Oryctolagus cuniculus: one gene and its partners. The protein of the gene in region 5 purifies or fractionates together with the protein of the main gene of each other region. This does not show direct contact. Links are inferred from orthologs where the notes say so. Each region holds a gene or a part of one and is shown on either strand. Other genes may lie near its edges.

Region 1 (3,554 bases), on a different chromosome or scaffold from region 5:
CGGGAGCCGGGGACGGGGGCAGGGCAGGGGGGTGTGGTTTTTTGCTCACCCGCCAAACCCACAGGCGCGGGCACCGGGGTGCCCTTCCACTGGCACGGGCCCGGGTATTCGGAGGTCATCTACGGCCGCAAGGTCAGTGCCGTGGGCAGGGGCTGGGCGCGCGGACCCGCGGACCCGGGGTGAGCGTGCGCTTCCCCTCCCCCAGCGCTGGTTCCTGTACCCGCCCGAGAAGACGCCGCAGTTCCACCCCAACGAGACCACGCTGGCCTGGCTCCGGGACACGTACCCAGGCCTGGCCCCGGCCGCGCGGCCGCTCGAGTGCACCATCTCCGCGGGCGAGGTCCGGGCCGGGGCCGGGGCCGGGGCCGGGGCGGGGGAGGCGAGGCCCCCCGCTGACGCCCGCGCCCCTCCCGCAGGTGCTGTACTTCCCGGCCCGCTGGTGGCACGCCACGCTCAACCTGGACACGTGCGTGTTCATCTCCACCTTCCTGGGCTAGCGCTCGTGCTCACGGACTTTATTGCAGGACAGGGGCGGCGCCGGGGCGGGGGCGGGGGCGGGCCTTGCAGGGGCTCAGTAGTCCTCCACCCAGCCGTTCTCCGAGATGAACGCGTCGATGACCTCCTTCATGGCCAGGTTGGGGATGAGCTGCTCCTGGGTCAGGGGGCTCCGGGTCACGGGGTCAAAGTGGCCCACGCGCTGCGGGGACAGCGGGGTCAGCGGCGCGGCGGGGCGGGGCGCCCGGCCGGGCCGCCGCGGCCGCACCCACCTGCAGGTGCTCCTCGATGTCCTTGCGGTCGTAGGTGATGCCGCTGGGGGTGATGCAGGGCTCCCGCATCAGCTCGAAGCTGATCTTGCCGCACAGATAGTCGGGGACGTCGCGCCTCTGCACACAGGGCGCGCTCAGTGGGCGGGCGGCCGGCACCTGCCCACGGGCCCCGCCGACAAGGCTCACCTTTCTCTTCTCGTCCACTTGCGAGAAGAGCTCGTCCATGTCCGCCAAGTACTTGTCCTGGAAGAAGCGAGGGGGCGCTGCCCCGGGGCCGCACACGGCCCTCCCCCGGCCCAGCGCCGCCTGCCCCCGCCGCCCCCGCCGCCCCCGGGGCCCGCGCCCGCCGGCCGGGCCGCCCTCACGTGCTTGGCCTCAATGCAGGCCTGCTGGGCGCGGACGTGGCCGTCGTCCTCGTCCCCCTCGTGGCTCCGCTGGCACTCCTCCAGCTCCCTGCGGGCGAGCGGCCGCGCGTCAGGACCCGCCCCGCCCCGCCCCGCCCCGCCCCGCTGTCAATAAACGCGCGGAGGGGCCCACCTCTCGCGCTCGGCCGCGATGAGCCTGGCGAGGTAGGCGTGCAGCTCGCTCTCCTGGTGGATGCGCCGCTCCTCCAGGCTGTTCCAGCGCTTCTTCTTGGCGATGCGCAGCGCGCTGGGGATGTCGTCGCCGAAGTTGAGCCGCTGCTCCTTGGCCAGGCTGTAGGCTGCGGGCGCGGGGCGCGCGGTCAGCCCGGCCGGCCGCCCGCAGCCGCGCCGCGCGCCCCGCGCCGCGCGCCCACCTCGCTGCAGGTTGGCGATGGCCTCGTCGTAGCTCTCCAGCTCCAGCTGGCACTGGCCCAGGAAGAAGTGCGCCTTCACCGACTGGCCGTCCAGCTCCAGCGCGCGCCGGCAGTCGGCCAGCGCCTGCTCGTGCTGCTGCATCTTCAGGTAGCACAGGGCGCGGTTGGTGTAGTACACCGCCACCAGCGGGTTGCGCGTCTGGGGAGAGCGGGCGGCCGCGCTGTGGGCGTGCGCGCGGGCCGCACCCGCACCGCACCCGCACCCGGGCGGCCGCCGCCGCCGGGGCCGAGTCAAACGCCCCAAGCCGGGGGGCCCCGAAGGGCCGCGCCCCGGCGCCAGGCCCGCCCCCGGCGCGGCGCACTCACGATGGCGCGGCCGTAGCAGGCCGCCGCCTCCGGGTACTTGCGGCCCACGAAGAGCCGGTTGCCCTGCTCCTTGAGCTCCTGCGCGCTCGGGCTCTTCTCGGGGCTGCCGCCGCCGCCCAGCCGCGCGCCGCCCTCCTTCTCCTCCTTGCCCTTCATGGCGCCGCGCGGCACGGCCTGGGCTCCGCTCGCGGGCTCCGCGCCCGGCCGCCCGCAGCCCGCGCCCCGCTCGGCCCGGCCCGGATCGCCGCCACCGGAACTTCCGGCCGCGGGGGGCGGGGTCGCGCGTGCGCGCTGCGGCGGGGTGGGGGCGGGGCCCGCCGCGCGGAGCCTCCGAAGGACCGCCTCCCTGCGGCCGGGCTCCGCCCCTCCGCGCACGCCCCGCCCCCGGCATGGGGGCAGCGGGAGGCCGAGGCGTGCAGCGCGTGCGGGCCCCCGGGGGCGGGCCCCGCCGGCGGAGACGACCCAGGACGCCCTGACCCGCAGCTGAGTACGGCCTCAGCTGCCGCAGCCGCCCGGGCACCCTGTGCGGCCCGTGAGGCAGCGTCCGCACAGGTGGGAGCGACCCCGCCGGCGCCGCCCCCTCGGCATGGGCGGTGGGACACCGTGCCTGACCGGCCCCAGCCTGGCCCCCTCCCCCACGGCGTGCAGGCCGAACTCGTGGGCCAGGACACCCACCGCCTGTCCCCTGGGGCCGCAGCCCAGTCCCTTCGTAGATGGGAGGGCCCCGCACGGTCCGCGGGAAGCGGGGGGCAGAGACGCCTCCAGACCCCGGACAGCCACCTGGTGCCGTGTAAAATATTTATTCACTCTGCAAAAGGCGCGGACCGCGGACCCGGGGGCGGGGCGGGGGCAGGGCCTCCCCTGTGCCCAGGAGGCGGTCAGGGCGGCGGGGGGACGTGGGCGCCCAGCAGGTCGTAGGCAAAGACGTTCCAGAAGACGGCGAAGAGCAGGAAGGTGCCGTAGGCCAGCAGGACCACCCACCAGCCGCACTGGTCCCGCAGGCGCTCCTCGTAGCTGCGTAGGATGGTGAGGCCCATGCTCACGCCCACCACGGCGCCCGCCAGGTGCGCCATGAAGCTGGGCTGCGGGCCCGAGGCGGGCAGCGGCGGCGAGAAGCGCAGCCACACGGCGCGGCCCACCTCCGAGCTCACTGCGGAGGGAGGCGGCAGGTGGGCGGCGCCCCGCCCGCGGGCCCGCCCCGCCCGCCCCGCCCCTACTCACTGCACACCAGGGCCAGCACCATCCGCAGCAGCTTGTAGGGACACCGCATCCCAGCCCAGTTCTGAGGGGCGCGGAGAGGCCGTGAGACAGGCCCGCGGCGCCCGCCCCGCCCCCCGCGGGCGCCCATTACCATGACGACGTTGGCCAGGTGCGCCGAGCACAGGGCGTAGACCCCGCCGGAGCCCCCCACCACGGGGGCCCGCATGTCGGTGATGGACACGGTCAGGGAGCCTGCGGGCCAGGAGGGCAGGGGTGAGGCCCGGCGGGCGGCGCGGGGCGGGCCGGGGCGCGGCGCCTCACCTGCCAGCACGCCCGCCAGGTACAGGAGGCTGATGCGCAGCGCGCCGTGCACCATCTCCAGGGGCACCCCGATCATCAGCTGCAGCAGGGCGTTGAACCCCAGCTGCTCCAGCCTGGCACAC
Region 2 (3,500 bases), on a different chromosome or scaffold from region 5:
CCTGAAGTTCCAGAAGTTTCAGTTAGTATGGCTCCTCCCATTCAAGATGTGGACTACCTAAAAGGTCATTTAGAGATCATCCAGGAGCCAGCGCTGCAGTGCAGTGGGTTAAAGCCCTGGCCTGAGGTGTCAGCATCCCATATGGGCGCTGGTTCTAGTCCCTGCTGCTCCACTTCTGATCCAGCTCTCTGCTGTGGCCTGGGAAAGCAGTGCAAGAAGGCCCTAGTCCTTGGGCCCCTGCACCCACGTGGGAGACCTGGAAGAAGCTCCTGGCTCTGGATCAGCACAGCTCCAGCCATTTCGGCCATCTGGGGAATGAACCATCGGACAGAAGATCTCTTTCTCTGCCTCTCCTCTCTCTGTGTAACTCTGACTTTCAAATAAATAAATAAATCTTAAAAAAAAAACAAAAAAACACAACTATCCAGTTTACTTAAAATGCAATTTTAAGGGGGGAAAAATGTTGCCTACTTGTTAAAAGGAACTGCAACAACCCACAAAAGACAGATTCCAGAATGACTTTCTCATGAGCATCTTTCCCACAGCAATTTCCCCCCATAAAACTAGTTTACAAAAGCAATGTTTCGGTAAACAATTTTACATAATGAATATTGCCATGAGCACATTACTCCCTCAAATATTTAGGTTCCACAGTACTACTGGGAAATACTATAGAAGCAAAAATCAATACAACAGTGAATCTCACCTTTAGCACAGCTACTCCATCTGAAAGCTTTGCAAGACGTTCATTCAGTTTTTCTTTTTCATATTCACTAGTCGTGATGTCTAACTGCTCGATGATTTCTTGAATACGTTTTTCAATTTGAGCCTTGTCACCTTTTCCTTTCAAAAGCATAGCATCATCTTTGGTCACAATGACTTCTCCAACTTTTCCTAAGTCATGAGGTTGAACATCTTCAAGATTTAGGGTCAATCCCTCTTCTCCAAATACCTACAACATTTTAAAGTTGTAAGTTATCATACTGTACTTCTTTGAAATGAACAGACTTCAAGACCAACATAAGTCTATAAGAAGATTTAAATTGTCTTTCATTGCATTTTCAACATCTCAGTTTTCACAACTCTACCAGTCACTATTATTCTAATTTGAGAAATACTCAATGCCACACTTATTGAAGGAAGGGAGACTATACCGACCATAAGCTGAAATTCTTTTTTTTTTTTTTTTTTTGACAGGCAGAGTGGACAGTGAGAGAGAGACAGAGAGAAAGGTCTTCCCTTTGCCGTTGGTTCACCCTCCAATGGCCGCCGCGGCCAGTGCACTGCGCTGATCCGATGGCAGGAGCCAGGTACTTCTCCTGGTCTCCCATGGGGTGCAGGGCCCAAGCACTTGGGCCATCCTCCACTGCACTCCCTGGCCACAGCAGAGAGCTGGCCTGGAAGAGGGGCAACCGGGGCAGAATCGGGTGCCCCGACCGGGACTAGAACCCGGTGTGCTGGCGCCACAAGGCGGAGGATTAGCCTACTGAGCCGTGGCGCCGGCCAGGCTGAAATTCTTTAATCCCACAATGGATTATTTTTTATCACATTATTGACTTTCAAAACTGAAAGCAGATTTAGTAAAAAAGCTCATTCTTAGTAAGCCAAAAACATGGCAAATCAGAGATAAAAGCAGCAGAAGATAGCCCAGCGCTGGCCACTGTGGTCATTTGAAGAGTGAACCAATGGATGGAAGATCTCTCTCTCTCCCCCCTTTCCTTATAACTCTGCCTTTCAAATAAATAAATAAGTCTTTTAAAAATAAATTTTAAAAATTAAAAATAAACAGTAACTAATTGTGAAAAATTAAATTCTCTCTAAATTTTAGACCTGGAAATATAAATAACATTCAGTAAACAAATATAAAACTTAAGTTTACTTACTGCACCACCAGTAGCAATAGCCATATCTTTAAGCTGGTTCTTTCTATTGTCACCAAAACCTGGAGCTTTGACTGCTACAACCTGAAGACCAACTTTTAGCCTGTTAAGGACAGAAGACGGTGAGACTTAAATTGAATAAAAATACCTACTATCTAGTTTAGTTCCTCTCAAGTCCTGGTACTACCAGAACTGTTCATATTAAAAGAGGAAAAGTAGGAGACAGAGCTATATTCTACTCATCTATACTTCTTTGTAGCTGATTACCTTCTTAATAAACTGCTGGCCTCACATTCCAGTTGAACCGCTGAACCCAGAAGCAAAAATCACATTACAATTAAGGACATATTAGCAACTATTTTATGAGTGATGGAAAACAATAATTATAAAATATTAAAAGTAAATGAGTAATCTAATGAAGACTTCTATGGGTTATTGTTAAAGTTAAGTTTGAACAAAGAATGTCCCAAATTTAGCTCTTTTATAAATGTTATACAAAACTGTAGTGTTAAACTCACCTGAAATTTTATCAGGTAAATGAATACTTGAAATATCATAATCAAAGAAATGTCCATTAGAGAGCAGATTGTGAACAAAACTTTAAGACAGTGTCGCTCTATTTTACTGAGACAAATAAAAAACTAGGATAAGCTATGATGATATGCTATGAAAACTGGGCAAAGACTTTAGAGCTACCGGTAAACAGCTCAACAAAAACTTTGCACTGTTTAGAATATGACCATTACTTATTTCAAGGTTAAAACCAATATTAAACTATAAACTTGTTGAATAGACTTCATCTTATTTTAGGTTGAGTGTTAATTTCTCTCACTTGAGAATATGAAATACTTATCACTAAATACACTAAGGGATGAGGTTTTTATAATGGCAATTATTTCCTTCCTTCCTTGTTCCATGCAAAATTACCTTGTGTTCCTCGGGGCTCGCTTGTGGCACAGTAGGTTAAACTGCTGCCTGTGACACCTGCATCCCACATTAGAACACCGTTTGAGTAGCAACTGCTTTGCTTCCAATTTAGCTCCCTGCTAATGTATCCAGGAAAGCAGTGGAAGATGGCCCAAGTATTTGGGCCCCTGTGACCCACATAGGAGACCCAGATGGAGTTTCAGGCTCCTGGCTTCAGCCTAGACCAGCCCTGGCTGTTGCAGTCATTTAGGGAGTGAACCAGTGATGGACATCTCTCCCTGATGTTGTCTTTCAAATAAATAAAAATAATTCTTAAAGTCTTCTGAAACATGAAGATGCAAGCAGCACACCTGTACTCCAAAAAGCTGATAAAAAATAGAACTAAAGATAGTTTGGTCCAAAGAAACAATTTAAAACCATGCAGTTTTTTCCATAAGAGGCTTTTTACACAAATTTTGTAAAGAACTTTCATATACACTACAAATCTAGATACAAACACAGGTTGATAGAATATGGAGGAACATAATGGAGATTTCAAACATCAATACAAGTTCTTCATCAGGAAATGTGAAGTATCAAATACACTGCTTATTACCTATTCAAAACAAGTGTACTCAGAGCTTCTCCATCAACATCTTCAGCAATTATGACCAGGGGCTTACGGTGAGCATTGGCAATTTCAAGAGCAGGTAC
Region 3 (4,217 bases), on a different chromosome or scaffold from region 5:
GAGCCGAGGGCCGCTCCCGGGAGGTTTCTCATACAGTCTTTAATGCCATCACCCTGCACAGCGACAAGTCACACACACTTTGGTCTCATGTCGGCAGTGGCAACGTACAATGAGTCTCAAGGGGCTGAGCACCAGACGGGTGTCCCGGGAATAGACCCCGCCTCCGCCCGGGGCCATGGGGGCAGGGCAGGGCCCGTCTGGGGGCACCCCGGCCTGACGGGGAGTTATAAAAACATTTACAGGCTCCTGCAATCGGGAGCAAAGACCCTTTTATCAAAAGGGATTATAGCTATGTCTCTATACATCTCTCCAGGGTTGTGCAAAATTCCGAAGGATCAGATCCCTTTGAGAGAGAAACAAAACGAAACGAAACAAAACAAAGTCCAGAGTCCATGGAACAGAAAGGGCACCCGGAGCTGCCCAGAGCTCGCTCTCGGCAAAGCACGGCTGGGCCCCGTCTCCGTGAGCTCCCGGGCTCCCGTGGTCCCGCTGGAAAGAGGAAGGTATTGCTTGTGGGCGCCGGCCGGGCAGTTCTGCAGAGTCTAGCTTTCTCCACCTGAGATGGCCAGGATGAGCCGGGGGGTGGGGGTGGGGGGAGGCATGGAGCAGGGGAGACAAAGCACAGGACCCAGCTGCAGGTGCGGGGGGGGGGAGGTGTCTGGAGGAGCGTGGGGCGGGGCGGGCCTCGTCCTGCTCTGCCCACCACCTGCCGCTCCGCCGCCCGAAAAACCAGCACAGTCGAGTGCACGACTTTCAAAGATTGTAATATATTCTCTGGAAAACATAGAGCAGGATCAGGCTCCCGGGCCCTCCCGCCCTCTCACGGTCCACGAGTGCCGGGGTAGCCGGAGACGCTGAGCTCTGGCGAGGTCCCTGGGGCCGGCGGCGCCCGGATGATGCGGGGGCGGTGGGTGGGTGGGTGTGTGGGGGCGCTAGATGGGCAGAACCTGCTCCAGGACGGTTCTCGACGTCTGGGGGATCCTTTCGGGGAAGACCACCTCAAATTCGATGATGAGGTCCCCGCGCTTCTCCGGCGTCTTGGGGAGGGGCAGGCCTTCGCCCGGCACCTTCCGCCGCATGCCGGGCCTGATGACGTCTTTGAAGACAACGGGGATGCTGCGGCCGTCCAGAGTCGGCACGTTCACCGTGCAGCCGCACAGGGCCTGGGCGGGGGTGGGGGGGGGTAGGACAGCGGTCAGCCGCGAGAGCCTGGGGAGCCCCGCCCGCCCCCAGCGCACCCCCACGGCTCCCCACCCCCGCGGCCTCACCTCCCGCAGGCTGACGCGGGCCGGGTAGATGACGTCCGAGCCGTCTCTCTTGAAGATGTTGTGTGGCTTGTCCTTGAGCACGAACACGATGTCGGCGGGGATGTTGCTGGAGGTCTGGTCCCCCTCCTTGGGGAAGGTGATCTTGGTGCCCTCTTTCCAGCCCCGCTTCACCTCGATCGTCAGGATCTTGTCTTCGTTCCGGATGCTCTTGCCGTCGGGGTTCAGCCGCTTGTGGGAGATCTTCATCTTCTTGGTGCAGCCGCTGTAGATCTCTTCCAGGGAGACCCTGAGGTCGTGCGTGACGGGCGGGTCTTGCTTCTTGCGGGTGGGCTCCTGGGCCGGGCGCGAGCGGCCGAAGTTCATGTTGGTGAAGCCGCCCACGCCCATGGGGAAGCCGGCGAACGGGTCGTCGATGTCCATGCCCTCTTCCCCGTTCCGCTGCCCAAAGAACGTGTCAAAGGGGTTCCGGCCTCCGAAGAACTCGGCAAACATGGCGTGCGGGTCGCCATGGAACGTGTAGCTGAAGGACGTCCCGTTGGCCCCGCCGCCGCTGCCCCCGCAGGGGCCGCCGCCCTTCAGGCCTGCGAAGCAAAAACGCAGGGACGTGAGGGGGCGGGGCGGGATTGCTCTCAGCCCGCCGAGGGCCGGACCCCAAGCTTGCACCTGCCGCTGCAGACACTGGGGGCCTCGGCCCGCAGGTGACAGCCACCAAGGCCCGGCCCCTGCCTGCTCCCGGCTGATCCTCCCAAGAATCCACCAAGAGACCCAGACATGACCCGGGGTGGGGGAGAGGGGGGAAGAGCGGCGGCCACGTCCCCTGAGCCCAGAGAGAACGTGGGCAAATGCAGGCCAACCAAAGACACCCCGGAAGCTTTCTGAAGCTCTCCCGTCCCAGCACCAATCGCCGCTGCCCTGATGATCGGAAAAAAAAAAAACACACTCTACTGGCTCAGGACCGAGCCCGGAAGCCGGTGAGTCACCGACGGGCAGCTGGGCAGGCCGAGACCCGGCCGCCCCCCGCCGCGCCCCCCGCCCCGGCCCGCACCGGGTGCAGACCCAGGGAGGGGCCGCCCGGACGTGCTGGAAGCTTCTGCGCGAGCGGCGAGCCGGGGCTCCTCCTCCGCCCGCCGGGGGCCCTCTCAGCAGCCCCCCACCCCCGGCCGGCGGCGCGCGTGCCTCGGTTTCCCCGCGCGCCGCGGCCGCGCGCACGCACCCTCCTCCCCGTAGCGGTCGAAGATCTCGCGCTTGCGCGGGTCGCTCAGCACGTCGTAGGCCTCGGCGATCTCCTTGAACCGCTCCTCGGCGCCGGGCTCCTTGTTCTTGTCCGGGTGGTACCGCAGCGCCTGGCGGCGGTAGGCCCGCTTCACCTCCTCGTCCGACGCGCCGCGGGCCAGGCCCAGCGTCTGGTAGTAATCCTTGCCCATGGCGCCCGCCCGCGGCCCCGCCGTACCCGGCTCCGCCGCCGCCGCCCGGCCCGACTCTATATACCCGTCCGGCGGAAGCTTCCAGAGCCCGCCAGCCCCCTCCAGAACCTTCCGCCCCGCCCCCCGCGCCGCGCCGGCCAATCGCCGCGGCCTCGGCCCCGTGACGCCCCCATCCGGGGCGGGGCCGGGCTGCCAACGGCCGCCCGCGTGCGGCCACGCCCCTTCCCTCTCAGACCCCCCCCCCCCGCCTCTCCCGGCAACGCCTCCCCGCGGCGAGGGCACTGGGCAGGCGGAGGGCCCGCCCACCCCCTCGGGGAGAACCAATCACGACTTCCCGCTCACTGTCTTCTAGGATCTGGCAGGCTGCGAGCCCTGTCCGTTGCCGGGTCCACAGGTTACCGCAGCGGAACGCGGAGCTCCGGGAAGGGGCGGGGCGAGACAAAGCCCCGCCCCTCGAGGTGGCCCCGCCCCTGTTCCCAGCAGATATAAACCTGGCCTCCCGTCTCGCAGGCTGGGTCGTGCAAAGTTCGGCAGGCTTGGTGCTGTTTAGCACAAGTGCAAGAGTGGCACGCCCTCCTCAGCCAGCGGGGAGGGGACAGTGCGAGCCACGTCCACTCCCCTGGAGAGGGTCCTGCCCTTCCTGCCCCTGGTGTCACCCTTGCCGCTGAACTTGCCGATAAACTTGAAATTCCCTTTTCCTTGGCTTCCCTCCCTCCCAGCCTGGGCTGGCGACCAGGACCAGAACCGGGTTCTGCCTGTTCCTAAACAGTCCCGGTATTTGGCTCCTCAACAGACCTGGTTTCTGGCTTTAAAAATTTTTTTTTATTGATTTCATTTTATTTGAAAAGCACAGAGAGAGAGAGAGAGAGAGAGAGAGAGAGAGAACTTTCATTCAATGGTTCACTCCTTAAATGCCTGCGATAGCCAAGGTTGGGCCAAGCCAAAGCCTGGAGCCAGGGACTCCATCCAGGTCTCCCACGTGGTTGGCAGGGACCCAAGCATCACCTGTTGTGTCCCAGGATGCTCATTAGCACGGAACTGGAAGGGCAGCAGAGGAACCACGAGTGAGCCCAGACGCTCCCATGTGGGATGCAGGAGCTCTGGTTGGCATCTTTTTTTTTTTTTTTTTTTTTAAGATTTATGTATCTGGGGGCCAGCGTTGTGGTGCAGCGGGTTGAAGCCCTGGCCTGTGGCACCAGCACCCCATATGGGCACCGGTTCTAGTCCTGAATGCTCCTCTTCTGATCCCTCTCTCTGCTATGGCCTGGGAAAGCAGTGGAAGATGGCCCAAGTCCTTGGGCTCCTGCACTCATGTGGGAGACCTGGAAGAAGCTCTTGGCTCCTGGCTTTGGATCAGTGCAGCTCTGGCCATTGCAGCCATTTGGGGAGTGAATCAGCAGATGGAATATCTCTCCATTTCTACCTCTCTGTAACTGTCTTTCAAATAAATAAATAAATTTTTAAAAAAGATTCACCTATCTATTTCAAAGTCACGAATCATAGAGAGAGGGGGAGAGTCTGAGAG
Region 4 (3,500 bases), on a different chromosome or scaffold from region 5:
GCTATGCCACAGCGTTGGCCCCTCCACACCTCTCAATAGCCAAGGTCATGTGGGGCCCTTTAGTGCCTGCAGAGTTCACAGTGAGCTCTTTATAGTGTGGCCTCAGAGGTCCCAGGGAGACGCCCAGGTTGGCTGTCCCAAAGATCCTGTGGCATCCAAGAGGGACGCCTTCTCTGTCTCACATTCTTGGATCTGAGTCCCTTGCACCAACCTAGAACTCTGGTGTGTGTGTGGGTGCATATAACACACAGGCCAATCCCCGACACGTGATATAAGTTGTATGTACAAGATGCTCCAACAGGGACTGGCATTGTGGCACACCGGGCTAAGCCTTCGCCTGTGGCGCTGGCATCCCATATGGGTGCCGGTTCTAGTTCCAGCTGCTCCTCTTCCAATCCAGCTCCCTGCTAATGGCCTGGAAAAGCAGTAGAAGATGGCCCAAGTGCTTGGGTCCCTGCACCCACGAGGAAGACCTGGAAGAAGCTCCTGGCTCTTGGCTTTGGATTAGCTCAACTCTGGCCATTGAGACCTTTTGGGGAGTGAACCAGCAGATAGAAGACTTTTTCTCTGACTTCCCCTCTCTGCCTGTAACTCTACCTCACAAGTAAATAAATAAAATCATAAAACAAAACAAAACAAAAAAAGATGCTCTGACAGCACTGAGGGTATGGGATCACCTGCGAATGTGAACTATTTTATTTTCACAAGTGTGGGGAGGCTCTGAATTGAACTATGTCATGTGGAAGTCTCCAACTGTCCTTGGAAAACAGCAAGGTCTGTTAACTGTAAGGAGCCAAGAGTGGCAGATTTCCTTATTACCCGTCCCCCCACCATGGTTACCTGCAGTACAGATGTGGCAGGAAGAATGCGGGGCCCAGGCAATGCCATTGACACAGGCTCGGTGGTTGTTTAACCTGGCAACAGGTGTGCAGGGAACTCGGACGTCCAGAATCACCACCTGCAGAAACACAAGTATAAGGCCCAGGAACTTGGGGTGTAACAGAAGAAACACGAGAACCAAAGACACTACACCAGGGAAAATCTTGTTTAAGTGTCACTTTTTCATTTGTGGACTTAAAGAATATTAGAGATGCAGGTTTTCCTAAGGATTGAGGAAAAAAGAAAACACAGAACACAGGTAGTGAGGGATAGGAAAGGGGGATGGAAAAGGTAACACATATTTAGACGATCCACCAATTCCTGGCAGGTGCCTGAGAGAAGAATTCTGTACATCTCAGCTGGACAGAATGAGAGCCCTGGCAAGGCAGAATCTGGAACCAATGAAGAAGTCTAAGGAACTGGCTTCATCAAACCAACGCTAACCACGTGCCTGCCACCCACCTTTATTGAGTAACAGGCTACAGAGAGAGCTGCCATTCCTAGATTCCTAGATGTGTTTGCTAAAGCTGGACGACTCTGCCCAGACCACCCAAGGGGATTTTTTTTTTCCCCTCAGCACCAAAAGCACAAATGATTTAGTTTACTTTTTTTTTTTTTTTTTTTTTTTTGACAGGCAGAGTGGACAGTGAGAGAGAGAGACAGAGAGAAAGGTCTTCCTTTGCCGTTGGTTCACCCTCCAATGGCCGGCGCACCGCGCCTATCCAAAGGCAGGAGCCAGGTGCTTCTCCTGGTCTCCCATGGGGTGCAGGGCCCAAGCACTTGGGCCGTCCTCCACTGCACTCCCTGGCCACAGCAGAGCTGGCCTGGAAGAGGGACAACCAGGACAGAATCCGGTGCCCCGAGCGGGACTAGAACCCAGTGTGCCGGCGCCGCAAGGCGGAGGATTAGCCTACTGAGCCGTGGCGCTGGCCCATTTAGTTTACTCTTAAGTACTATTTTTCTTGGCACCAACTCTCCAAGTATGAAAAGTTGTTGGGGCCAGCGTTGTGGCATAGTGGGAAAAGCCACCACCTGCAGCACCGGCATTCCATACGGGTGCAGGTTCAAGTCCCGGCTGCTCCACTCCTTTTTTTTTTCTTCTTTCCTTCCTTTCTTTCTTTCTTTCTTTTCTTTTCTTTTCTTTTCTTTTCTTTTCTTTTCTTTTCTTTTCTTTTTTTTTTTTTTTTTAAGATTTTGTGTATTTATATGAAAGACAGAGTTACAGTCAGAGACAGGGAAAGACAGACAGGTCCTCCATCTGTTGGTTCATTCCCCAAATGGCTGCAGTGGCCAGAACTGGGGCAATCTGAAGCCAGGAGCCAGGAGCTTCTTCCTGGTCTCCCATGTGGGTGCAGGTGCCCATGGACTTGGGCCAACTTCTACTGCTTTCCCAGGCCATAGCAAGAGAGCCGATCAGAAGAACAGCTGGGACACAAACTGGCACCCACATGGGATGCTGGTGCAGCAGGCAGAGGCTTAGCCTATTGCACCACAGTACCAGCTCCCTGATGATGTCCTGGGAAAGCAGCAGAGGATGGCCTGAGTTTTGGGCCCATGTACCCATGTGGGAGATCTAGATGAAGCTCTCGGCTCCAGGCTTTGGACTGTTCCAGCCCCGCCCATTATGGCCACTGGGGAGTGAACTGGTGGATGGAAGATCTCTCTCGCTGTCTCTCCCTCCTCTTCCCCACTCTGCAACTCTAACTTTCAAATAAATAAATAAATCTTAAAAAAAAAAAAAAAAAGAAAAAATTCTTAGCCACAGTCCTTGTCCTAGATCAGGCTTTCTCAGCCTTGGCATTATGGACATTTCAGGGGGATAATACTTTGCCAGGAAGCTGTCCTGTGCACTGTAGAAAGCGTAGCAGCCTCCCAGATCCATCTGACCCTGGACATTTCCAAAGATCCCCTGGGGGCAAGGCTGCCACCAGTAGAGAACCAATCTAAGCACTCGTCAGCGCTGGAGTTCAGTGGCAGGGCCTGTGTTAGACTGGGCGGGTGCTCACCTCCATTCCATCCATGGCCATGGTGGCCAGGTAGTTAGGGTCCTGCTTGTTCCAGCAGAGGCGCAGCAATGGGTGATGCTGTGGGTCTTCATAAATGATGGTGCTGTGTTCCAGATGACGGAGGTCAAACATTCGCACGGAGCCATCAGCACCCACAGACGCAAACATGTCTCTGCCACCCCCAGCCCGGCTAAACGCGATGTCATAGACCTATTGTGGAAAAGGAAGCTTCAGTCAGATGCAGAACTGTTACCTCCTTTTCCTATAGCAGGGAAATCTAATTCATCTAAACCTGGTCCGGAGACCAAGAGGTGAAACAACTTTGAGTTATGGGGAGGTTCAGGAACCCCTACATTCACAAATGGGCGTAGGATCACTGTCGTCCTTCCATACATTCTGCTTCTTCCCTAGGACGATTTATTCTTGTATGTGAATCTATTCAGGTTTGAATCATTGTGTTCCGCATTTATCATTTGCTACAAACACTGCTTATCACACATGTCTCTGAAGAAACAGAGGCAGAGAGAATGGAGAGCTTCAGAGAAACAGAGGGACTGAGACAGAGAGGCCAGAGGCACACATGTGAAAACAGACAGAAAGAAAATCACAAATGTC
Region 5 (3,500 bases):
AATGCCGGTTTCCCACATGGGTATCAATTTGTATCCAAGCTGCTCCACTTTTTTTTTTTTTTTTTTTTTTTGGACAGGCAGAGTGGACAGTGAGAGAGAGAGACAGAGAGAAAGGTCTTCCTTTTGCCGTTAGTTCACCCTCCAATGGCCGCCACGGCTGGCGCACCGCGCTGATCCAAAGGCAGGAGCCAGGTGCTTCTCCTGGTCTCCCATGGGGTGCAGGGCCCAACCACTTGGGCCATCCTCCACTGCACTCCCTGGCCACAGCAGAGAGCTGGCCTAGAAGAGGGGCAACCGGGACAGAATCCGGTGCCCCGACCGGGACTAGAACCCGGTGTGCGGGCGCCGCTAGGTGGAGGATTAGCCTATTGAGCCACGGCGCTGGCCTGCTCCACCTTCAATCTAGCTCCCTGCTAACGGCCTGAGAAAAGCAGCGAAAGATGGCTCAAGTGCTTAGGATCCTGCCACCCACAAATGAAACTCCTGACTCCTGGCTTTGAGCTGGCCAAGCCCCAACTGTTATGGCCATTTGAGTAGTGAACCAGTGGATAGAAGATGGATTGAGCTCATGTTCTCTCTCTGTGTAACTCTTTCAAATAAATAAATATATTAAAAAAAAAAAAAAAAAGTCTTTCCTTTCTCCAAATCTTACTTGTCATTCAAGACTGGACTTTAGAAAGTGGGTGCCGGCACCCTGGTGCAGCAAGTTAATCCTCCACCTGCAATGCTGGTATCCCATATGGGTGCCAGTACTAGTCCCAGTTGTTCCACTTCCAATCCAGCTCTCTGCTATTGCCTGGGAAAGCAGTACTAGATGGCCCAAGTCCTTGGGCCCCTGCCCATGTGGGAGACTCAGAAGTGCCTGGCTCCTGGCTTCGGTGCGGCTCCAGCTACTGCGGATTTGGCGAGTGAACCAACAGAAGGAAGACCTTTCTCTCTGTCTTTCCCTCTCACTGTTTGTAACTTTGCCTCTCAAATAAAAGAAATAAAATCTTAAAAAAAAAAAAAAAAAAGTGTTCCTGAGGCCAGCGCTGTGGCTCAGTGGGTTAAAATCCTGGCCTGAAGTGCAGGCATCCCATATGGGCACTGGTTCGAGTCCAGGCTAGTCCTCTTCTGATCCAGCTCTCTGTTATGCCCTGGGAAAGCAGAAGATGGTCCATGTTCTTTGGGCCCCTGTATGCATGTGGGAGACCCGAAAGAAGCTCCTGGCTCCTGGTTTCAGATCGGCGCAGCTCTGGCCAATGTGGCCAATTTGGAAGACCTCTCTCTCTCTCTCTCTTTCTCTGCCTCTCCTTCTCTCTCTGTGTAACTCTAACTTTCGAATAAATAAATAAATCCTCTTTTAAAAAGGTGTTCCTTGATGACACTTCCTTTTTCTTGAAGTTATACTACATTTAATCTCAGTACCACTGAGTGAAGCATATGGTCAACTATGCTTTAGATAAACTTTATGTCAATAAGTCTTGACTCCACGTTAACATTCTATACTACAGTGGGCAAAGTTGCTATATCATCCTTCTTTTGCATGCCCCACAATGCCTCGCCCAGTACTGAAAAAGTTGTAACCATTCAACCATAGCCATTGTAATTAATACTAATTGGGTAACTGTCTAAAGCATCTTCCCAAAATAACAAGAACATTATGTGCACAGTCCATATTTTCACCCTTGCTATAAGCTTACGTCAAAGAAATTTCAGTTGCTTCAAATGGAGGATATAATACAGAGAGAGAAGCTGTTTGGATCCAACAGGCATATTCTGGGAGTTGGTGATTACGCTAGATTTGACCTTTACAAAATTACACAAACAGGGCCCTAATAAATCAAGATAGATGTGTGCAGAGCCATACATGGAACATGGAGTGGGCGATCAACTACACCCACTCTCTTTCTTCCATGAAAGATTCTTCTTCCTCATCCCAAGGTGAATGTTCAGCTGGAAGGTTCATTCTAAGAATCATAACAATTTACATATATGTGTGTGTGTATTTGTGTGTGTGTGTGTGCGTGTGTGTGTGTATATATATATATATCTTTTTGGGGCAGGCATTTAACGTAGAGTCTAAAATGTCCACATCCCATACCAGAGTTCCTGGGATCATTACACAGCTTCGCTCCTGATTTCAGCTTTCTGTTAATGCAGGCCCTGGGAGGTAGCAGTGATGGGTCAAGTGACTGTGTTCCTGGCACATGGGAAACTGGGATTGCGTTCCTAGCTCCCGGTTGGGCCAGCCCTATTGCTAGCCACTGTGGGCATCTGGGGAATAAACCAGCAGATAGAAGCCCTCTGTCTCTCAAATAAATAAATTTTTAAAATTCACCTTTTCTTGACATAAATGCATGTTGTCTTTTTTTTCTCTTTGTCAAGCTGCAGTGTTCCAAAAGCTAAGGATTAAGAGGTGAACAGCTATCCAAAGCAACACAAAGAGCTGGAACAATATAGTAATCTATATCAAGCAGGATTCTTTTAGTACTTATTCCTAGATACTCAGACATTTTCTTGTCCCAAAATAACTAGTCCTGCAAATAAAATCTTTCAAGAATGCCCAAAAAATAAAAATAAAAATAAAAATAAAAATAAAATAAAATAAAAACCCGGCAGAGGAAGTCAATGGTTCCATCTCCTCATGCCTTCTAACCTAATCAACACCCTCCTTTCAAGGCTAAACCCAGAGCCTTAGGCTTAGCCAGAAATAGATATAGCACAGCCAACTGACTCATATAGCTAGGCCCTTTCCTATCTCTGCCACCAGAATAAAATTTTCCGAAATGATGCAATGGAGACATCCAAACCAGATGCATGGGTCCCAGTCATCCAGAGACAGCCACAGCATCTACAGGACTGCAGGCAGAGGTGCAGGGAGGCAAGGAAAGGATGCAGGAGCCGACAGGAAGCCACCGCTTACCTCCTGAGGGAATCTTCCTCAGAGCTTTCCTCAGGCAAGTCCTGATGTAAGGCCTCCTGTGACACAGTTCCAGGTCTGCTGGACTGGGTGTAAATTCTTTCCCAGTGGCCTGTCTCCTGGTTAAAGGCCACCCCCACAGTCCTCTCCTCCTGCGGACTAGCAGAGCTGCTCAGCTCCAGCCTGCTGGAGCTGGGTGTTTGACCCTCAGTCCGCTCGAGAGGTGGCAACTGGCTGCCACTCGACGGCATGCCCTCAAAGGTACTGGGGACCTGCCAAGAGGACGCAGCCTCACCCGAGGAGTAGCTGGGTGTGGTTCTTTCCCAGCGCAGGGTATCGTTGTTGAAGGTCAGGAGATTGTGGCAAGCACGGCAGCGGTTCAGGTGGCCACGAGACAGGCTGGAGTTGTTCTCACTGCTGTGTGGGGTGGGCTGGTGGGAAGGGCCTGGCCTTTCAGATTCAATGTTATTGTTGAGCATTTCCTGGGCCTGCTGGGTCTGGGGGGCTTCCCCACTGAGGCTCTGATCCAGCTCCTGAAGCCGATCGTATTCCAGAAAGAAGCGTCTCAGGTCACACTGGAGCTCATGGCGAATGCTGC
Region 6 (4,081 bases), on a different chromosome or scaffold from region 5:
GTGCCCACTCGCGGTCAGTACTCCCACTCGTCCGACTTGAGGTCCAGGTAGCTGAGGATGTTTTGCGCCAGCTTCACGGCCTGCTTGCGCGCGGCCTTGCACTTCTCCTCGCCCTGCGGGTCGACCGCGTCCAGGGCCAGCAGCTGCTTGGTGAGCAGCTCCTCCAGCCGGATGTAGTTCTTGTCGCTGCGATTGCCGTCGAAGGACAGGACCTCCCCCTGGATCTCCGACAGGTTCCCCAGGACGCTCCAGACGGCCTGGTGGGACGGGTGCTCGGCGCCCACGCTCTGCTTCCTCTTCTCCAGCGCCTCCTTCAGGTCCACGTAGGTGACCAGCGTCTGCACCTCGATCACCGCCCGTCTGCGCGCCTCCCGGATGCAGGGGTTCTTCTCCAGGCTCACCTCGTCCAGCTGCCCGATGAGGCCCTGCAGCTCCGTCTTGGAGCTCAGGTACAGCTCGGCCGGGCTCTGCGCGCGCAGAAGCTCGGCCCTGACCTCCCGCGTCCTGGCGCGCACCTTCTCTATCTCGAGGATGGACTGGTTCTGGCCCAGGTCGAAGGCGCGGGTCGTGTCCGCCTCCTCCTCCAGCTCCAGGTACTTGAGCAGCTTGTGGATGTCCTCCACCACCTCCCTCCGGTAGTTCCTGATGTCCGGGTGCCCGGCCACGTCCAGCGCGTCCAGGTCGGCCAGCAGCCCCGAGAGCACGCAGGACAGGTGCCGGCAGGTCTCGTCGGCGCACACGCCCATCAGCAGCGCGACCACCGTGCCGCGGGCCTTGCTCACCGTGCACATCACGGCGTTGATCCTGGCGACGCACGGGTGCGCGTCCTCGGACAGCGGCAGCGACGGCTGCTTCCGCAGGCAGTCCTCCAGGATCTCCTGCACGGCGCACACCCTGCTCAGCGCGCGGTAGCGGGCTTTGCGCAGCGAGACCTTGCCGCCGGTCTTGACGTGCGTCAGCCGCAGCACGATGTCCTGCAGGCGCTCCTCCACCTCGTCCGCGGCGCAGCCTCCCCCGCTGTGCAAGGGCGCGATCTCGTCCTGCGCCAGCGCCTGCGCCTCGCGGAACAGGTTCCGGATCTCCAGGCGGCGCGGGTGGCTGGCGTTCTGCTCCAGCTCCTTGAGCAGCCGCTCCGTCTCCTGCGCCGCCCGCTTCCGCGCCTGCTGGACGTCCCCCCTGCCCTCGGTGTCCACGGAGTCGATCTCGAACAGCTGCCGCGTGAGCATGCGCTCCAGCCTCCGGTAGGCCTTGTCGTCCGCCAGCCCGCTGAAGCCCAGCACCTGCGGCTCCACGGCCTTCACCTCCCGCTGGATCTCCTGCAGCCTGCTGATGGCCGGGTGCTGGTTTCCCATGTCCATGCTCCGCTGCCTGGGCTCACGAGCGCTGCGGGGCGACAAGAGAGCTCATTCAGAGCGGCCGCCGGCAGGTCCGCGGACCCCGGCCGGCAGGCCCAGGGCCAGCCCGAGGGGCCGCCCGGCCCGCGGCACAGAACAGCCCGCAGGGCACGCCCGGGCCAGCAGAATGCGGGACAGGCCCCGCGACGGGGCCCCAAGCTCCGCCGGGGCTCCCCGCCCGGGACAGCGCCCACTCTGCCTGCACTGCCTCCCACGAGGGCCCGCGGGCGCCGCCGCGGGCCCGGGCCTCCCTCCCTCTCGCACTTTACCCGGCGGAGGTCCCGGCTCCCCGGAGGCGCGGCGGCGAGGTGGAAGATCAGCCCTTCACCGGGTGCGGCGGCGGGGCCGGGCCCCTAACGGCATCCCCTTCAGCCCCCCGGCTCGGTCTGGACGGGGCGGCCGGTGAAGGGGCCGGCGGCGGCGGCAGCTACTGGCCGCAGCGGCCGCTCCGGGCGTCTCGGCCCCGGGCCCCCGGCTCGCCGCCGGCCCTGACCTCACAATGGGCGCGCGGGGGAGGCCGAGGCCCGGGCGCCCCGCGAGGACGGGCGGGAGGGGCGCGGAGCGGGGCCCAGCCCGGCGGGGAACCCGGCCAGGCGCGGCCGCGTGGGAGCCCGTGGGGGGGAGCAGGGTGGCCCGGCGGAGCCCCGCGCCGGCGCGCGCGCGGAGAGAGCAGACGCGATCGCCGGCGCCCCCGCACCACTCACCCGCGCCATCACGCGCTCCGCTGCCGCCCACGACTTCCGCAGAGCCCGCGGCGCCCCCGTCCGGGGCCGACCACCCCCAAGCCCTGGGAAAAGACGGCTCCGCGCCCGCGCCTCACCTCGAGCCGCGCCCCGGGCCTCTGGGACGACAGGGATCGGGGAACTGTCGCCGGCGTTCGCCCGCGCTGCCCGGTCCCGGCAGGCCTCCTCCGCGCCGCCCCGTCCCCACAGACCCCCTCCGCGAGCCGTGTCACCGCGGGAAAAGCGCGCGGTCGGCCCCTCCGCGGCGCGCCCGCCGGCTTTGCGACCCTGCCGTAAGGCAGCCCCGCTCGCCGTCGCGAACGCCGCCGGGTGCCGCGGGAGCAAGGTGGGCGCGGCCCCATGGCGGCGGTGCGGCGGGCGCCGCGGACCCTCGTCCCGCCCCTCTGCCGGGCCTTCGCGGGCGGCGGCGGGCGGCGGGCCCCGGAGCGCGGTGCGGAGCGCAGGGAAGCAGCGCCGAGCGGGGTAAGCGCGCTGCCGGGGCTGCCGGGCCGCCCCCGGTCTGGCGCCCACCGCCGCGGTGCACGGACCTGGTGTTTGCCCGAGGGCGAGTTCCAGAAGCGCCCGGAGGGGCTCGGCGAGTGGCTGCGGCCGCGGCGTGCGGCCGGCCGTGCTTGTCCTCAGGCGCTGGCGGGCCGGGGCGGTGAGGCCGGCGCGGAGCCGGGCCGGGCAGTGGTTACGGAGCGAGGAGAGGGGCGGTGAGGCCGGCGCGGAGCCGGGCCGGGCAGTGGTTACGGAGCGACGAGAGGGGCGGTGAGGCCGGCGCGGAGCCGGGCCCGGCAGTGGTTACGGAGCGACGAGAGGGGCGGTGAGGCCGGCGCGGAGCCGGGCCCGGCAGTGGTTACGGAGCGACGAGAGGGAGCCCGCTGGCCGTTGCGACACTTTGGGCCTGCGGGTTTTCGTGCGGCCGCCGCCCCGACTTCCGCTCCCACGCGCGCACACCCACCAGGCTCGCGGGTGTCTGGGGAGGATTCAGCCTCTGAAAGGCGCTGGCGGGGGCAGCCGTGTAGCAACGAGAGGGTTGCGCGGGGTGCGGCGTTTCCGCGGCCGGTTTGGGCGCCGGTGCCAGCGCCGCAACAGGTCCCGCAGGCTGCTTGCTGGAGAACCGGACCCGCGCAGGGGCTGTGCGGGCCGTGTGGTCAGGTCCTGTGCGGGCCGTGTGGTCAGGGGCTGTGCGGGCTGTGTGGTCAGGTCCTGTGCGGGCCGTGTGGTCAGGGGCTGTGCAGGGCCGTGTGGTCCGGGGCCGTCTGGGACTGTGTGGTCCAGTGGCGTGCAGGGCCGTGTGGTCAGGGGCTGTGCGGGCCGTGTGGTCCGGTCTGTGCGGGCCGTGTGGTCAGGGGCTGTGTGGGGCTGTGTGGTCCGGTCTGTGCGGGCCGTGTGGTCAGGGGCTGTGCGGGGCTGTGTGGTCCGGTCTGTGCGGGCCGTGTGGTCAGGGGCTGTGCGGGGCTGTGTGGTCCGGTCTGTGCGGGCCGTGTGGTCAGGGGCTGTGCGGGCCCGTGTGGTCAGGGGCTGTGCGGGCCGTGTGGTCAGGGGCTGTGCGGGCCCGTGTGATCCAGTGGCGTGCAGGGCCGTGTGGTCCGGTGCTGTGCAGGGCCGTGTGGTCCAGGGCCGTCTGGGGCTGTGTGGTCCGGGGCCGTCTGGGGCTGTGTGGTCTGGTCCTGTGCGGGTCGTGTGGTCGTGTCCTGTGCGGGCCCGCGTGGTCCAGTGGCGTGCAGGGCCCGCGTGGTCCAGTGGCGTGCAGGGCCGTGTGGTCCAGGGCCGTCTGGGGCCGTGTGGTCCGGTGCTCTCCGGAAGAGGCAGGGCAGAGCCGGAGCCGCTTGGCCGCGTCCAGCATTGTGACCCCCGCCGTGTGCTCGGGGTCCGAGTGTCCGTGCTGCCGGGTGTTGGAGGGAGCTGGGGAGCCGCTGTTGCCCAGGGCAGTCGTGTGTGCTGGGCCTGCTGCGGGCG
Region 7 (4,172 bases), on a different chromosome or scaffold from region 5:
GGACTTAGTAAATGGTGCCACCGCTTTGAAAAGCAAGAAATTTATTTATTTATTTATTTATTTATTTATTTTTGACAGGCAGAGTGGACAGTGAGAGAGAGAGACAGAGAGAAAGGTCTTCCTTTGCCGTTGGTTCACCCTCCAATGGCCGCCGCACCGCGCTGATCCGATGGCAGGAGCCAGGTGCTTTTCCTGGTCTCCCATGGGGTGCAGGGCCCAAGCACCTGGGCCATCCTCCACTGCACTCCCTGGCCACAGCAGAGGGCTGGCCTGGAAGAGGGGCAACCGGGACAGAATCCGGCGCCCTGACCGGGACTAGAACCTGGTGTGCCGGCGCCGCTAGGCGGAGGATTAGCCTAGTGAGCTGCGGCGCCGGCCACAATTTCTTTATTTTTTTTAAGATTTATTTATTTATTTGAAAGAGTTACAGACTGGCAGAGGCAGAGGCAGAGAGAGCGGTCTTCCACCTGCTGGTTCACTCCCTAAATGCCACAACGGCCAGAGCTGGGCCAATCCAAAGCCAGGAGCCAGGAGCCAGGAGCTTCTTCCAGGTCTCCCACGTGGGTGCAGGAGTCCAAGGACTTGGGCCATCTTCTACTGCTTTCCCAGGCCATAGCAGAGAGCCGGATCGGAAGTGGAGCAGCTGGGACTCCCAGAATGTGAGCACTGAAGGCTGTGGCTTTACCAGCTACGCTACAGTGCCGCAGTGCCGGCCCCGGAAATTTCTTATACAGTTGAACAAGTATTTTTCCACGGGACCCTGGGGATCTACTTCCAGAGGAATGAGAATGTTTGTTACGTTATTTGTAACCCAAAACTTGATACCCAAGTGTCCATTAACTGGTGAAGAATAAGCCAAACACAGTACACCCAAGCAGGACAGGAATACAAAGAAACAAATTATGGGGACCCAGCTCCAGTTGGAGTCCCAGCTGCTCCACTCCTGACCAGCTCCCTGCCAATGCTCCTTGGAAAACAGTAGATAGCCCAAAGCCTCGGCCTGTGCCTCCCACATGGGAGACCCTGATGGATTTCTAGGGCCCTGGCTTTCGTCTGGCCCAGCCATCTGGGGACTGAACCAGCAGACAGAAGATCTCCGTATTTGTCTCTTTCCCTCTCTCTCTGGCTCTATCTTTCAAATAAATAAATAGTAAACAAGCTAATTACTATCACATAGTGTGCATGGATTTCAGAAGTATCGTGGGTATGTGTGTGGTGCTGTGGGCGAGAAGCCACCTGTGGCACCTGAATCGCCCATCAGAATGGCTGGGTCTGAGTTGTGACTCCACTTACAATTAATTCTAGCTTCCGCTAACGCGCAGTCCGGGAGGCAGCAGATGATGGCTGGAGTTCTTGGGCTCTGCTACCTGTGTGGGTGACCCAGATGATTTCCTGGCTTCAGCCTGGCCCAGCCCCTGCTGTTGTGGACAGCTGGGGGAATGACCCAGCACGTGGAAGAACTCTGCCTCCGTCCCTCCTCTCCCTTTCAAATACAATGAGAGTAAACAATTTTTTTAAAAGTTCCACCCTAAGCAAAAAAAAAAAAAAAAAAAAGTCAGACATGCAAAACGCATGATTCTATTTGGATGAGATTCCAGAAACAGCAAGCTATGGGGACAGAAAACAAGTAAGTAAAGACGATGGAGCTGGTTGGGAGGGGAGACACGTCCACATCCGTAACAACTTAGTAAGACCCAAGTTACACATCCTATGTAAACGATGAGAGAACGGCTTAGAGAGACGCAGAGGCCGGCCAGTTCACACGCGCCCTGTCACGCACACACGCACACAGGCGCGGGGGGGGGGCTCCAGCTCCAAGCACAGGTATCCCTCTCACGCCCAGTGCTCCGTATTCGCGCTGGGATCCATTACGTGCGACGAGGTGTGGAATTTTCCACTTGTGTCACCACGTCGGTGCTCAGTGTCAGGTTCTGGAGCATTCCGGGAGTTTGGATAAGGGAGGCCCCGGCAGGGTGGGTGGCGGGACACGCAGGGGGCCTACAGGCCCTCCGTGGCACTGCGCAGCGCCGCTAACGTCACGCAAATACACCCACAGCCCAAGGCTTTGCAGGGAAAACTCGCACAGCTCCCCGCACATCGGGGGGAAGCGCGCTCCCGAGGGGCCGCCAAGTGGCTTCCAAGTTCCCCACGCGGCGCGCCCCCGGCCGCTCCTCCCGACCCCGGACACGCAACGGCGAACCGCATCCAGACGCGCGCGGGCCGTCCCCGCAGCGGGCACTTTACATAAGCGCGGCCCGCGCGAAGGCCGCGCGGTCACGTGCCGCCCGCGCCCGCGCCCGCCGCGGCCCCGGGCCACTCGGGCCGCTCACCTGGTACAGCTCCTCCAGGTTGTAGCGGATGGAGGTGCTGCCCTGGATGGCCCGCACGGCCTCGTGCAGCTGGCGCCACGTGTCCTGCGTGTAGTTGTCGGGCAGCTGCGGCCTGTCTGTGGAGAGCGCAGGGTCAGGCGCGGCCGGCCGCCCCGCGTCCGCGCCGCCCCGCGCCCCGCGCCCCGCGCCCGCCAGGCCGCACCTCGGAAATTCTTGATGACCAGCTTCCTGGAGCCGCCCGCGCCGCCCGGCTTGTTGGGGCCGCCGGCCAGGCCCGCGGGCTTGGTGAGGCCGTTGGTGCGGCCCACGAGGGCCGAGACGCCGGCCTTGCGCGGGGCCTCGTCCGCCATGGCCGCGGCCGGACGCCGCCCGACCCGCCCGGGCACGCCGCCCCGCGCCCCGCGCCCCGTGCGCCCGGCTCCGGCCCTGTCCGCCCGCGTCCGGCGCCGGCTCCGGCTCCCGAGCCTCCGTCCGGGCCTGCGCCGAGGCCGCCCCGCCCCGCCCCGCCCGCGCCCCGGAGCCCAACCGCCGCCGCCGCCGTCGGCCCGGCCCGCCCCTCCCGCCGCCGGGCGCGGGACGCCGCGCTCAGACTCCGGGGCGCGCGCGCCGGGCCGCGCGCCGGGCCGCCCCTCCCCTCGGGGGCGCGGGGCTGCGCGGGAAGCCGGCGCCGCGGAGCCCGCCGCACCCCGCGGCCGCCGGCGCGGCGGCGCGCGCCCGGACCCCCGCCGCCCCACCGAGGGCGGGCTGAGGAGGGGGCGCGAGGCCGCCCTCCATCTTAGTCTGCGGGCGCGCGCGCCGGCACCCTGTGTGTGGACTCGGGGGCGCGCCCGGGCCGGCTGCGGCCGCGAGCCGAACGTCGCTGCGGGGAGTGCTTTTCACGAGAGGGGTCGCGGGCCCCAGCGCGCGAGGCGAGCGGCGCCAGACCCCGGCCGCCCTCCACCGGGCTCGGCGCCGAGCTGCCGGGGCGGCGCTTGCGGCGCACGTTGTGGCCGGAACCAATGTGCGAGCGACGCTGGCGTCGGGGGGCGCCTGGCGGTGGACGGACCGCCGGCCGGAAGTGACGCGCGGCCTGACGCGGGCGGACCGGGCGCAGGCTGCGCGGCGGCCGCGCCATGGCGCACATCACCATCAACCAGTACCTGCAGCAGGTGGGTGCTGGCGGGCGCTGCGTGGCTGCTGGCGCAGGGCCGCCGCACCGAAGCGTGTCCGTGTGCGGGGTGCGGGGAGCCCCGGGCGGCCCGCCTCTGCCGGAGGCCACTTCCCTCGGGTTTTCCCAGGGGGCGGCGCCGGTACGGTCGCTCAGCCGCGGGTGTCCGGGGTTCTGGAACGCTTTAGAAGTGGCGGGTTGTCGACGCGGGATGGCGGCCGGATGTAACATGCGGGGGAGAACGCGGGTCGGCGGGACTTGGGCTCCTACCGCGGCCTGCGCGCTGGCTCTGCGGCCAGGGCGCGCGACCCCGCGGCCGCGATCTCCTGGGAACGGGACCCGTGGGAGCTGGGGGAGTTAGAGCCCCACGGCATCTGCCCCTGGTGAACCTCGCCCCGCCTTGCGTGTCTGACGCTGCAGCTGCAGGGCACAGAAGCGGCCACACCGAGGCTCTGGGCTCAGACGGCGCCGCCGGGACGCGCGGGCCCGGGCTCTGGTCGCAAGGCCGTGTTTTCAGCATTGAGTTTTCCAAAGGATGATGTTTCTTGGCGCGTCGGACTGCGAGCGTAGGGACCTTGTCCACCTGCACCCGCCTCCATTCCTGATTTCAGCACCCTGTGATGGGTTCCTAGTAGCTCTGGGGAGGAAGTGGGTCTGACTTTCCCTAGGGCGGGAGAGATTGCCTACTGCTGTGT

The links.
Region 1: the proteins of AMBRA1 (region 5) and STUB1 purify together in Homo sapiens (affinity purification with mass spectrometry, with the first as the bait; 3 studies listed by BioGRID). This does not show direct contact. The link is inferred for Oryctolagus cuniculus from reciprocal best matches to the Homo sapiens genes AMBRA1 and STUB1.
Region 2: the proteins of AMBRA1 (region 5) and HSPD1 purify together in Homo sapiens (affinity purification with mass spectrometry, with the first as the bait; 3 studies listed by BioGRID). This does not show direct contact. The link is inferred for Oryctolagus cuniculus from reciprocal best matches to the Homo sapiens genes AMBRA1 and HSPD1.
Region 3: the proteins of AMBRA1 (region 5) and DNAJB1 purify together in Homo sapiens (affinity purification with mass spectrometry, with the first as the bait; 3 studies listed by BioGRID). This does not show direct contact. The link is inferred for Oryctolagus cuniculus from reciprocal best matches to the Homo sapiens genes AMBRA1 and DNAJB1.
Region 4: the proteins of AMBRA1 (region 5) and DCAF7 purify together in Homo sapiens (affinity purification with mass spectrometry; 3 studies listed by BioGRID and IntAct, with this or other methods). This does not show direct contact. The link is inferred for Oryctolagus cuniculus from reciprocal best matches to the Homo sapiens genes AMBRA1 and DCAF7.
Region 6: the proteins of AMBRA1 (region 5) and BAG5 purify together in Homo sapiens (affinity purification with mass spectrometry, with the first as the bait; 3 studies listed by BioGRID). This does not show direct contact. The link is inferred for Oryctolagus cuniculus from reciprocal best matches to the Homo sapiens genes AMBRA1 and BAG5.
Region 7: the proteins of AMBRA1 (region 5) and CUL4A purify together in Homo sapiens (affinity purification with mass spectrometry; 11 studies listed by BioGRID and IntAct, with this or other methods). This does not show direct contact. The link is inferred for Oryctolagus cuniculus from reciprocal best matches to the Homo sapiens genes AMBRA1 and CUL4A.

What each region holds. Positions count from the first base shown.
Region 1 is NC_091450.1:34,026,459-34,030,012, forward strand, and holds STUB1 (E3 ubiquitin-protein ligase CHIP), read right to left. Parts: upstream 2,068-3,554; coding exon 1,912-2,067; intron 1,745-1,911; coding exon 1,546-1,744; intron 1,471-1,545; coding exon 1,305-1,470; exon of another isoform or gene 1,221-1,304; coding exon 1,133-1,220; exon of another isoform or gene 1,011-1,132; coding exon 768-1,010; exon of another isoform or gene 698-767; coding exon 572-697; 3' UTR 501-571; downstream 1-500. Other genes in the region: JMJD8 (jmjC domain-containing protein 8), read left to right, coding at 65-132, 206-340, 417-497; RHBDL1 (rhomboid-related protein 1), read right to left, coding at 2,407-3,061, 3,133-3,193, 3,263-3,363. UniProt on the Homo sapiens protein: E3 ubiquitin-protein ligase which targets misfolded chaperone substrates towards proteasomal degradation.
Region 2 is NC_091434.1:42,771,222-42,774,721, reverse strand, and holds part of HSPD1 (60 kDa heat shock protein, mitochondrial), read right to left. Parts: coding exon 3,403-3,500; intron 1,984-3,402; coding exon 1,884-1,983; intron 953-1,883; coding exon 707-952; intron 2-706; coding exon 1-1. UniProt on the Homo sapiens protein: Chaperonin implicated in mitochondrial protein import and macromolecular assembly. Together with Hsp10, facilitates the correct folding of imported proteins.
Region 3 is NC_091447.1:63,137,027-63,141,243, forward strand, and holds DNAJB1 (dnaJ homolog subfamily B member 1), read right to left. Parts: upstream 2,801-4,217; 5' UTR 2,693-2,800; coding exon 2,482-2,692; intron 1,850-2,481; coding exon 1,269-1,849; intron 1,164-1,268; coding exon 933-1,163; 3' UTR 20-932; downstream 1-19. UniProt on the Homo sapiens protein: Interacts with HSP70 and can stimulate its ATPase activity. Stimulates the association between HSC70 and HIP. Negatively regulates heat shock-induced HSF1 transcriptional activity during the attenuation and recovery phase period of the heat shock response.
Region 4 is NC_091448.1:15,127,963-15,131,462, forward strand, and holds part of DCAF7 (DDB1- and CUL4-associated factor 7), read right to left. Parts: intron 3,096-3,500; coding exon 2,886-3,095; intron 959-2,885; coding exon 841-958; intron 1-840. UniProt on the Homo sapiens protein: Involved in craniofacial development. Acts upstream of the EDN1 pathway and is required for formation of the upper jaw equivalent, the palatoquadrate. The activity required for EDN1 pathway function differs between the first and second arches.
Region 5 is NC_091432.1:19,388,919-19,392,418, reverse strand, and holds part of AMBRA1 (activating molecule in BECN1-regulated autophagy protein 1), read right to left. Parts: coding exon 2,906-3,500; intron 1-2,905. UniProt on the Homo sapiens protein: Substrate-recognition component of a DCX (DDB1-CUL4-X-box) E3 ubiquitin-protein ligase complex involved in cell cycle control and autophagy.
Region 6 is NC_091451.1:46,388,092-46,392,172, forward strand, and holds the start of BAG5 (BAG family molecular chaperone regulator 5), read right to left. Parts: upstream 2,801-4,081; 5' UTR 2,665-2,800; intron 2,600-2,664; coding exon of another isoform or gene 2,477-2,599; exon of another isoform or gene 2,408-2,476; intron 2,376-2,407; exon of another isoform or gene 2,099-2,375; intron 1,806-2,098; exon of another isoform or gene 1,664-1,805; intron 1,384-1,663; 5' UTR 1,359-1,383; coding exon 15-1,358; 3' UTR 1-14. UniProt on the Homo sapiens protein: Co-chaperone for HSP/HSP70 proteins. It functions as a nucleotide-exchange factor promoting the release of ADP from HSP70, thereby activating HSP70-mediated protein refolding.
Region 7 is NC_091440.1:735,103-739,274, forward strand, and holds the start of CUL4A (cullin-4A), read right to left. Parts: upstream 2,801-4,172; 5' UTR 2,681-2,800; coding exon 2,533-2,680; intron 2,447-2,532; coding exon 2,331-2,446; intron 1-2,330. Other genes in the region: PCID2 (PCI domain-containing protein 2), read left to right, coding at 3,443-3,478. UniProt on the Homo sapiens protein: Core component of multiple cullin-RING-based E3 ubiquitin-protein ligase complexes which mediate the ubiquitination of target proteins. As a scaffold protein may contribute to catalysis through positioning of the substrate and the ubiquitin-conjugating enzyme.